Linked DNA regions of Mus musculus. The protein of the gene in region 2 purifies or fractionates together with the protein of the main gene of each other region. This does not show direct contact. Links are inferred from orthologs where the notes say so. Each region holds a gene or a part of one and is shown on either strand. Other genes may lie near its edges.

Region 1 (4,294 bases), on a different chromosome or scaffold from region 2:
GACTCTTAACAACAGACATCTGGTTTAGCAGCCATTTTTCACCCTTATTGCTACATAAAACAGGACATTTTCCAATGTCTTACAGTCAAAGTCACAAAGTCCAGAGCTAGGCATGGTGGTGAATGCCTTTAATCCCTTTTAGATGCAGAGGGCAGCCTGATTCAGAGGTCTGGGATAGCCAGAGCTACAGAAAAATCCTGTCTTCAAAAACCCCATGCACAAACAAACAATAAAATTCACTTATGAGCTCATAGTGTATTCTTATATAGCAACAACAGAAAAAAAAATCTTCTTTTATTCTACTAGTCAATTTATTAAAAAGACTTACCAGGTGGGTTTTTGAGAATGAATGTACAGAGTTTATGATGTGTGTCAAGCATGCCTCGGTACCCACAGGCTTTACAAGAATTACCTATTGTTTGCTTCTTTGGATTGACATGCTATTAAGGAAAGTAAAAACAAGTGTCATCTACAGCCAAAAAGGAAAAGTGGATAGAAGTTTTTGTTACATTATAAAAGTGCCAGAAGACATCTAAAGTACTAATTTAACCCAATTTTCTTCATGATAGTCTTGAAAAAAAACCTAAAAGGCACTCACCAGATCTGTTTCAGGATTCTCACACTCAGGACAGAGAACAAATTTTTTAATGAATCCATCCAACATGTCTTGCAGCTTATTCGCCTCATGAGATCCATTGACAATGTAACGGTCATTCTTAACATCAAACTGGGTCTGTGCTCCCAGCTCACAACCAAAATATTTGGTGGGATCTGTATAAAGACAAGACATTCCATTATAGTTAACTAAAGCACTGGTTGCACGTGAATATACAAAAACTCACCGTGTTAAAATTACAGGGAAACTGAAATACAGCCAGGGTGGCTTAATGACACCCAATCAAGTAGGTCCGCAGTTCCAACTTGCTAATTAACATGATTGAGGAAAGATGTATAGCTCAAAGACTGTAAAAACTATAGCCATAATATACCTTTTCAGGCTTCTCCAAGCTTTACTTACACGTTGGAGGCCGATTAAGCGCCTTTGCAACGTCAACCATGTTGACTATAACTGTCTTGATTCCATTTCCTTTGCCCTCAACCTAAAGGAAATAAGAATTTCAATTTTGCACTGTCTTCCCTGTGAAATGTAATCTTTCAAAACCTATCAAGAGTGTGCGGACCAACAGGCTACTAAAATAAAAACCAGCATTACCTTAGCAATCAAACGGGGCATCTTGTAGCGATAGAACTGGTCTGACACGCTGCGGTTGACGTTGACAGACATTTTGGCTTATTAGTGACTTTATCAATAAGATGAAGAGATCTTTGATTGCAACTTTTTGGTATCTTCTGTCTGGAGAAGAAGGGATGACATAAACGACTGCAAGAGTTCTCGGTCTCTGACATGAAAAAATTTTCGCCACTGAGGCTGTAAGCTTCTTGCTTGTATGCTATGTTTCCCCAATACAGGTACCAATGGCTGCGCAACAGCTCTGAAAGAGAAAAGGAGAAAACACACAACAACCCTACAGGTTTAGCATCACTCCTCCCCGGGACAACTTCCCGTCCCCGAGTCCCTCACACAACTAACACTCCGAGCTCTAACAGCCCGAGTCCTTGTGAGAAAACAGCTGACATCCCCATGTAACAAAGCACAACTCCAGGAACCCAGGAGGCCACCATTTTGACACGGGTTGTGACTGGCAGGGAAACTGCTCGAAACGAGGAGGACAACACGGAACACAAACCCTGCTCCCTCAGCCGCCGGGAGATTGTCACATCAAAGGCCACCGGCGAGTCATGGGTTGCCCCGGCCGAGCGACAGCGTTGTAACTGCCGAAAAGGGGATCCGGGCCCTTTCTCTCCCTCACTTCAGGCCCGGGGGCCACCAACTTCGCCGATGGCGCCTCCCCCGGCTGCCATCGTGGTAAAACGGGAAACGTCGAGCCGGACCTGCCAACCGCCGAGGGGCGGCTTCGGCGACTCCGGGGGCTTCAGGGCGGCAAGTCCAGGCTGGGAGCCATTGGCTCCGTCGGAGCACGAGGACCACGGCCGAAGCCGCGCCCGGGCTCCCTCCCCTCGCTCCCTCGGCGCACGGCCGACCTTCGCCCTCGTCCCCATGGCTACGCGACGGTCGCAGCCCGTCGCCCGGCCTCCCCCTTCCGGCGGCCGGCGGGGCAGAGGTGCGGCCTCCCTGAGTCACAAACGCGCCCCGGGCCTGACTCAGCCACGGCGCGCGCGCGGGCGCGCTCCCGCACGGCCCGGCCCCCCCCAAACTGCGCCACACGCGCGGCGGGTCACGCGGCCGCGCCGCCATCTTGCCGCCGCCATGGCCCGCCGCCCGCGACTCACCGTTTTCGTCAAATAAAGACATAAACCCAACGCGGCTCGCCCGGGACTGGGAGGAAGAGGCGCTGGAAACCGGGTCCGGAGCGGCGGGGCCGGCGGCGAGCGGAGGGGCGGCTGGGCAGGTGCCGCCGCCGAGCAGCGGGAGGGACTGTCCCAGCGACGTCCGCGTCCACACCAGCAGCGCCGAGCCTGGCGACCTGGCGGGGACAAGGCAGTGAGCGGCGGGCGGCGCCTGCCCCCGCCGGCGGCCCGCGGGGTGGAGGGGCGGGAGCGCAGGGCAGGGGCGCGGGCCACCGCCCCCCGCGGACTCACCTCTGGAATGTTCTCGCTCTGACTGAACAACGCCGCCGCCGCGCTCAAGCTACCCTCGGCCCCGGAGCCCGCCCCTTGTACCGGGCAGCCACCGCTTATTGGCCGCAGGCCCTCCCAACTTCTCTTGTCATTGGCTCGCATGCACGTCGATCTCACGCTTCTCCGCCCTCCACTTCCTGGGGCTCCACTCGTGGTCTCGGCCCGCCTCCTGCCTGTCCCAGCTTCCTTCCCTTCCCTTCCCCCCCCCAACTCCGTCCTTCCCAGAGGCCTTCGCGGTCTCGCGATAGCCCGGCTCGCTCTGAGTTTATGCGTTCAGGCACTATGGCGCCTGCCTAGTCCTCTCTCGGGGCGGGGCCGGGCCGGCTATGTCCACGGTGCTTCTCTGTGGGCCACGCGTGATCTAACTGCTCATCTGGACCGCGCCAGGAGGCTCCCGACACTGCGGCTCCCCTTGCCTCTTTCCCACCACCCTTCCTGCTGCCTGGCCCGTGCCTGTCATCCCATATGGTGCCTCTCCCTGAGCTCGGGGAGCCAAGCCGCCGCCGAGCCGAGACTCCGCGGTTGTGGCTCTGAGGTTTCCCACGATAGAAACCTTTTTTTGTGTAGCTTGGGTCCCCGCGCAACTTAGGGTGGTCTCGACCCCAGTCAGGTCCGGCTGTGCCTCGAGGTTTGGCCATCCCCCCGCCTCGGGGCTCAGTCGCCACGTAGGGCCACCCCGTCCAGCCCAGCCCGGTCTGTAAAGGCCAGGCTGGTTGGTGACTGTGACTCCCTGCAGGTGCACCCGAGGAGGCAACAGTGTTTTATTTACTAACAATTTATGTTCGGAAGAGGAGCCCGGACTTTTTCTTTCCTAGACACTCTTCCATTATTTAAAAGAAAAAAAAAACTTCTTTTTTTGGTAAAAGTTTCGACTGAGAGTTGAAATCATCCCAGAGTCCAACTAATAATATAGAAATACCTGTTCCACCTTCCCAGGGCTTCTGAGAGCAGCAGCCTGGCTTAGTCAGCAGCTGCCTGGTTTCCTGGATGGGGAGAAAGAGCAGTGTTGTGGAAGAAGGGCTGCCCTTTGTTCTACGCCAGTAGAATTTGTAACAAGGTTAAAATGGAAAGATCAATTTTATTTTGCCCAAATCCAAGGTTATTTCCCCATGACTTAAAAGCTCTGTAAAGCTAATTGACCATGTCCGTGAGGGAGACTAAAGACAAGATGCAGAACTGAAAGATTTGTGTCTCTTCTGTAGCTTTTATTTCACAGTCCATGGCTCTACAGTTTTTACGGCTCTGTGCTTATCCAGGTTCCCCCTCGTTAAAGTGGAAAGATCTCAGGCAGTGCCTCTGTGAGCCATGGATCATGACTTGGCAGTATTGGAAAAGATTGAGTTTTTGCTTGGCTGAACTCAAATGGCAATATTTTAGAAACTCTCAGAAAAGGGTGTGAAACCAGTCCGAGGTAAGAGGCTTGTCTCACAAAAGTATTTTTGGTAACACTATACAAAGTGGTCTTTTCTGTATGTTCGATGGCCTGATGTTTAACTTCATTTTAAAAGTTTGTAGGAGCCAGGGGTGCTGACACCTTTAATCCTAGCACTCCAGAGGCAGAGGCAGGCTAGCCTAGCCTATATAACAAGTTCCA
Region 2 (6,678 bases):
CATCTAGAAAGCAGCTATTCATTCTGATGTTCACCCTAGATCCTCTGATTCTACAGGGGTCCCACTACGATGCAGTGTGTGAGAACAGGCCACAGCATAAGTGTGGGGCTCAGGGTACAACCTGCTAGAGTTAGTCCTCTCCTTCCCTCAGATGGGTCCTAGGGTTGAACTCCAGGCAGCAGGCTTGTGGAGAGTGCCTTCACCCACTGAGCCATCTTGCCAGCTTAAGATACAAGTTCTAAGTGTTAGGAGTATAGGTCAGTATTAGTGTGCCCAACTCCCTGCTTTCCGTTCCCCACCAGCATCCCAAACAGACACATGGACTTGGAGTGGATGTTCCTACGGCAGAGAATCTGATATAACCTCCACTTACTTGACAGGAGCTTAGCACTGGAGAGAGTTTAAGGTGGCAGGAATAGAGCTTGCAACGTTTTTGCAGCTAAGGAGGTACTGGGACCTAGGTAAAATATTAAGGCCTAGATAAAATGTCAAGGCCTAGGTAGCCTACTTGGCTAGCCTACCATTATAAGGAAACTTTCTCATATGTTTCTGCTGTTACTAGGAAACTTTCTAATGCCAAAACTGATTACATATTCTGTTATGCCCTGTGCCCTTGGAAACCAATCATGATAGAAGTTAGTAGAACTTTTTTGAATAGTTACCCATAATAAGCTTTGACCTGAACCAACCACCCAGCAGCACTTACTAGCCATATATAAATTTTTATGGTATTTGTCTGTATAAGCTGTCCCTGGGATGGACTCCAACATAAGAGAGAAATCTCTGGCCTGGAGAGATGGCTCAGTGGTTAAGAGCTCTTCTAGAGGTCCTGAGTTCAATTCCCAGCAACCACATGGTGGCTCACAACCATCTGTAATAGGATTTGATGCCCTCTTCTGGTGTGTCTTCAGACAGCTCAAGTTTATATAAATAAAATAAATAGATGAGAGAGAGAACTGCACCAATATAAGAAACCCTTTGGAATAAGACTTCCATTTTGAGTAATGACTGAGTAAAGTTTAAGTTCCCAAGACCTCCCTGGAAACTGGCATCCTACTTGGCAGAAAGACATGTGCGTGGGTAACTGACAACCTGGTTGGCACATTGAGACATGAATGTTCAACAAGGAAAGTCTCTTGCCACCGTTGAATACCCAACCAATGGGAGCAGGATACGTGTAAGGCAAAACCATGTTCCCAGGTAAACCCCCCATTTCTGAATCCTGATTGGTGATGTGACTTGGCCCAGATGTTTGTGGATTTGAGGCTTAAAAACCCTGCAGGATCTTAAGTCAGGGTCACAGTTCAGGTCCTGAATCTGGACTGTGGCCCTGGTTAACCAGTCCTGACATGTATGCTCAATAAAGTGCCTCTCTCTGACTGAGACTGGGGCTCGTGTGGTCTGTGAGGGGACTCCTGGACCACAGCAGGAGGCTGGCTGCCAAGCCTGAAGGCCTGAGATCAATCCCAAGACCCACATAGTGGAAGGAGAGACTGTCTGCAAAGTGTCCCCTGACCTCCATGTGTGCTATGTATGCACAAGCATGCTGTCTTCAAATAATACAAACGCACAACAAGGTTGTAGGATAAACCCTAGCATGCTACACAGCAAAGGAGGCACAGGAGACCAGGTGGCCTCTTATTCAAAGAAAGGACGTCTTAGCACAGGACAAAAGGGTTTGGTCTGAGTCTGTTTCTTCTTCAACAAACCAGAATCCTGGTATCCTCTAAACGATGTGGGGCGAGGGCATTCTTGATACACGTGCTTTTCAGCCAAGCTTGTTGGCACACAATTATAGCCCCAGCTATTTGTGAATTCCTTGCGTTTAGGAGTTCAGGGGCAAGCCTGGGGAACAAAGCAAGACACCTTTAGTTTTGGAGACAGAGTCGCATGGAGCGCAGGCTAGTCTGGAATCCACGAGGTAGCTGAAAATGGCCTTTAACTCATAATTTTCCAGCTTCCACCTCCAGCACTGCGATTACTGATGGCTGAAAACTAATTCTCCGGGAAGAGGGAGAGAACGAATCAGTTCCGGGTGTGGCGATTTCATGTTCATATTCCCAGCACGGACGAGAGTAAGGTGGAAAGACAGCTATGAATTCAAGGCCACCCTGGGAATACTGCTCGTGAGCCTGTACTTTCAGCCTTTTGGAGTTGAGACAGGATTGTGAGGCTATCCTATCTATAGAGTGAGACACTCACGTCTAGCCCCATTACCCAAAGGGGGAAAAAAAAAGTTTAAAAAGTTCTTTGAAGCTTTTTTTTGGACCCCTTTTCCAGGTTGGATCTCAGCGCTTTGCGGTGCGCGAGAGCCGCGTGTCCACCTTTGTCCGCAGGGAGGCGCTGTGCTCACCGCGGTCTGGCCGCTCTAGGCTGCGGCCGCGGCACCGGAAGCCTCTTCTACTCCGGCTTCCTGTCTTTACCCGGGCTGGGAGCTGCGTGGAGTTAAGACTTCGAGATGCCGACTGGCGACTTTGAGTATGCGTGGGGTGGCGATGGGGTCGCCGGGGAGGCCGCGTGGGGGCTGCTCTGGGGTGCGTGGGGGTCTGGGCGGCGCGGGGGGCCGGGACCCGCTCACCAATCTCCTGTCCCCGCAGCTCGAAGCCCAGCTGGGCCGACCAGGTGGAGGAGGAGGGAGAGGACGGTGAGTGCCGAGCGTGGCCGCGCCCGCTGCCTGTTCCCGGGGCCCACGCTCCGGCTAGGGCCGCGCGTGGCCAGCCCCACCCTCGCCCTGCGCTGTGCCCCCGGTGCAACCCGCAAACACACAACACACACACACACACACTCTCTCTCTGACTTGAAAGTTCCCGTCCCGTGGCTCACTCTACCTTCCTCCCCGAATTCCCTCTGGCAGACAAATGTGTCACCAGCGAGCTCCTGAAAGGAATCCCTCTGCCCACCGGGGACACCAGTCCAGAGCCCGAGTTACTGCCCGGAGGTGAGCAGTGTCCATCCCTGCCTGCTTCCTCTTCCCTTCCGACTCTCAAGCCTACTTTCCAGCCAGTCCCCATTACCCGGGAATCAGTTTCTGTCATCTTCCTCCAGACCCGCTGCCACCTCCCAAGGAAGTCATCAATGGGAACATAAAGACAGTGACTGAGTACAAGATAGAGGAAGATGGGAAGAAATTCAAGGTGAGGTCGAAGTGGACACATAGGGCCAGTGCCTTTGTGTTCAGGGGTTCAGGTGGAGGGGTGTCAGTGGCTGAGACAGGGCCTGAGGCTCTGGAAGCACTCCTCTCTTATTCATCTTCAGATTGTCAGAACCTTCAGGATTGAGACCCGGAAGGCATCAAAGGCTGTGGCAAGGAGGAAGGTGAGATTCTACCTCATTTGGGGGGTAGGGTGTTCTCTGGGGCTGATCCTGAGGAGTTGGGAAGCCCCTTTTTGTTGATGTGGAGTAAACGTTTAGTGTTAGGCCTTGAAAGGTTAGGGCCCAGGAGTAGATGAAGTTAGATGCTTTATTTATTCATTTACTTTTGTTTTTTTATTGTTCTCCTTTTGTGTGCGGATGTGCGCAGCATCATCCCCCCCAGCACATGGCACAGCATACTTTTGGTTTGAGCTGGTCTCTCGGTATTAGGAACTAGACTAGGCTTGCTGGGCACTAACAGCCCCAGGGACCCTGCTGTCCCCACTTCCTGTCTGGCCTGCACCGGGAATGCAAGTTTGCCTCTGTGCACAGTGTTTGACTGTGGGTGCTCGGGGTCAGAGTCTGACGGACACTTGTGTGACAGACACTGTACTGAGACATACCCAGCCCTCTTGGGTTTTATTGTTTGTAGTTTGTTTTTCCAGACAGGGTTTCTCTGTGTAGCCCTAGCTGTTCTGAACTCACTCTGTGGTCTAGGCTGACCTTGAACTCATAGATCCACATGCATTAGGATTAAAGGCATTGCCACCATTTGCTGGCTTGTTATTTTTGAGAGGCTCTAGCTCTGGTCTTCATTCTAAATGCTTCTGCCTCAGCCTCCTGCATCCTGACCTCCATTCTCTCTCCTTTGACCTGTCTACATGAAGAAGCAAGCAGCCTCTACTTACCTAGGGGGGAGGGCTTGTAGAGGAGGGACAGCGACGCTTGAGAGCAAGGTCCCGTGCCAGCGTTCAGCAAGACACAGCTTCTCAGGCTCCAGGCCAGCTTAGGGAGGCAGGGAGCTTTGTGGCCCCTGTTTTACAGGCAGGAAATGAGTTTCAGGTTTAACTGGCTCGGTTCCTAAGGTCTGGGTGATTCCTCCTTTGTCCCTGGTGGGAGGCTGGCCATGGAGCAGCCCAGAAACTGCCAGCGGCACAGTGGAGCCCTGTACTCAACCTTTTTTTTTTTTTTTTTTCTCAAGACAGGGTTTCTCTGTATAGCCCTAGCTGTCCTGGAACTCACTCTGTAGACCAGGCTGGCCTCGAACTCAGAAATCTGCCTGCCTCTGCCTCCCTCCCAAGGGCTGGGATTAAAAGCGTGCGCCACCATGCCCAGCATGTACTTAACCTTTTATATGAGTGTTAGAAAGTGTACTGCACGTTTTCACACGAGCTACCTTACCAGCACCTACCTCAGATAACTCAGGCTGGTTTTGAGCTTGCGTGTCTTGAGGTCCTCCTGTTTGCACCTGGCAAGTGTTGGGGTGACAGTTGTGTGCCACTGTGTTTAGCTTAGGGAATGGGGATTGTCACCATTACCACAGGGAAGGCCTCTAGAGAGACTAGATCTTCGGATTCAAGGCCCCGGAATGGTTGTCTGTCTGGGGTACCCACTGCAGGATCCTTCCTGTCTTTTCCTCACTTCTCCCCATTGTTTTCTGGGAGCCCAGAATTGGAAGAAGTTTGGCAACTCGGAGTTTGACCCACCGGGGCCCAATGTGGCCACTACCACAGTCAGTGATGACGTCTCTATGACATTCATCACTAGCAAAGAGGTGAGCTGGGTGAAGCTGGAGCCTGAGAAATGCAGTGGGGGTGGTGTGGGCCGGGCCCAGCAGCCTCCTCTGAGCCTTCCCTCCCTATACCCCACCAGGACCTAAACTGTCAGGAGGAGGAGGACCCAATGAACAAGCTTAAGGGCCAGAAGATTGTGTCCTGCCGCATTTGCAAGGGCGACCATTGGACCACCCGTTGCCCCTACAAGGACACACTAGGACCCATGCAGAAGGAGCTGGCTGAGCAGCTCGGCCTGTCTACTGGGGAGAAGGAGAAACTGCCAGGAGGTGTGGACGTGGGGACCTGGGAGGGTCTCAGCTGTTCTGTGGTAGTGTGCTCTTCTCTTCCCTGCATTACCTGTGGCCAAGTTTGAGTGGCTTCGGGCATGGTCATCCTGATGTGTGACTGATAGCTTACTCTAACTTGGGTATGCGTGCGTGCATGCGTGCGTGTACATATATACTCTGTGTGTGTGTGTGTGTATGTGTGTGTGTGTGTGTGTACATATATACGCAGTGTGTGTGTGTGTGTGTATACACGTATATACTCAGGCAACATCCACCATGTATGTGCTGGGCTCAGTGTGGCCATAATCTAATGTGTCCTGTGGGGGTGGCTGCCTCTTGTGACTTGTATGGAACTTTGCTTCTCACTGTCATGGATGAGTGGCCTAGGGACATCCTCACTGTTGTGTGCCTGTAGTCGGGATGCTGCCGGGCTGGTGGTGTCCAGCGCTGGGGCTCTGCAGTGCTGGCTTTGTTGTGTCTGCCCTGTGGCTTGTTCACTTTGCTCGTGACACTAGCAGAGACTTTGAAGAGTGGTAGCTTCCTAGATGTGATGTTTGGGTCACCAAAGGATGACTGGGTGTCTGTACCTGGGGGCTGGGGCAGAATAATCCTTCCGTCTGCTGCTTTCCAGAGCTGGAGCCCGTGCAGGCCGCCCAGAGCAAGACAGGGAAGTATGTGCCCCCCAGCCTCCGGGACGGGGCCAGCCGCCGTGGGGAGTCCATGCAGCCAAACCGCAGAGGTGAGGAGGTGGGAGGCCCGCCCCCGGAGGCAAGGGCTGTGAGTACTCCTGCAGTGTGGGCGTGGGGTCCAGCGGTGGCACCCTTCTCACTGCCATCTCCCCCTGCCCTGCCCACAAAGCTGACGACAATGCCACCATCCGTGTCACTAACCTGTCCGAGGACACTCGTGAGACTGACTTGCAGGAACTCTTCCGGCCTTTCGGCTCCATCTCCCGAATCTACTTGGCCAAGGACAAGACTACTGGGCAGTCCAAGGTGGGTGAGCTGGTCTGAGGAGTGGAGTGGGTAGCTGGAGTAGGCATCCCTTGACCCACTTCTTACACCTCCATGTCTGCCCCTGGCCCGCAGGGTTTTGCTTTTATCAGCTTTCACCGCCGGGAGGATGCTGCACGTGCCATTGCAGGGGTGTCTGGTTTTGGCTACGACCATCTTATCCTCAATGTCGAGTGGGCCAAGTAAGGACCCTCCTGCCCCTTTCCACCTTCTCCCTAGCCCAGTCCTGTGGTTGCCAGGCCTGTCTGGAGGAAGGTCCTGAGCAGACCAGGCCAAGGGTTCCCTGATGTGAGTGCAGTCTCTCTCCGATCCCCTTCAGGATCACAAGTCCCCACCAGCATCCTTACCACCTCTTTCCCTCCCTCTTTCCAGGCCATCAACGAATTAATAAGACATCTGCTACCTGCTGCTGTTGTCCAGCCCCTCAGGACAGACAGAAAGCTTCAGTAAACAGACTCCAAATGCACTTTG

Evidence for each region.
Region 1: the proteins of Eif3g (region 2) and Eif5 purify together in Homo sapiens (affinity purification with western blotting; 3 studies listed by BioGRID and IntAct, with this or other methods). This does not show direct contact. The link is inferred for Mus musculus from reciprocal best matches to the Homo sapiens genes EIF3G and EIF5.

What each region holds. Positions count from the first base shown.
Region 1 is NC_000078.6:111,536,607-111,540,900, reverse strand, and holds the start of Eif5 (eukaryotic translation initiation factor 5), read right to left. Parts: upstream 2,801-4,294; 5' UTR 2,662-2,800; intron 2,547-2,661; 5' UTR 2,353-2,546; intron 1,494-2,352; 5' UTR 1,286-1,493; coding exon 1,214-1,285; intron 1,101-1,213; coding exon 1,019-1,100; intron 772-1,018; coding exon 599-771; intron 441-598; coding exon 329-440; intron 1-328.
Region 2 is NC_000075.6:20,894,344-20,901,021, reverse strand, and holds Eif3g (eukaryotic translation initiation factor 3 subunit G), read left to right. Parts: upstream 1-2,431; 5' UTR 2,432-2,458; coding exon 2,459-2,478; intron 2,479-2,597; coding exon 2,598-2,644; intron 2,645-2,854; coding exon 2,855-2,938; intron 2,939-3,045; coding exon 3,046-3,134; intron 3,135-3,255; coding exon 3,256-3,315; intron 3,316-4,801; coding exon 4,802-4,906; intron 4,907-5,004; coding exon 5,005-5,194; intron 5,195-5,825; coding exon 5,826-5,933; intron 5,934-6,052; coding exon 6,053-6,189; intron 6,190-6,282; coding exon 6,283-6,389; intron 6,390-6,579; coding exon 6,580-6,595; 3' UTR 6,596-6,673; downstream 6,674-6,678. UniProt on the Homo sapiens protein: RNA-binding component of the eukaryotic translation initiation factor 3 (eIF-3) complex, which is required for several steps in the initiation of protein synthesis.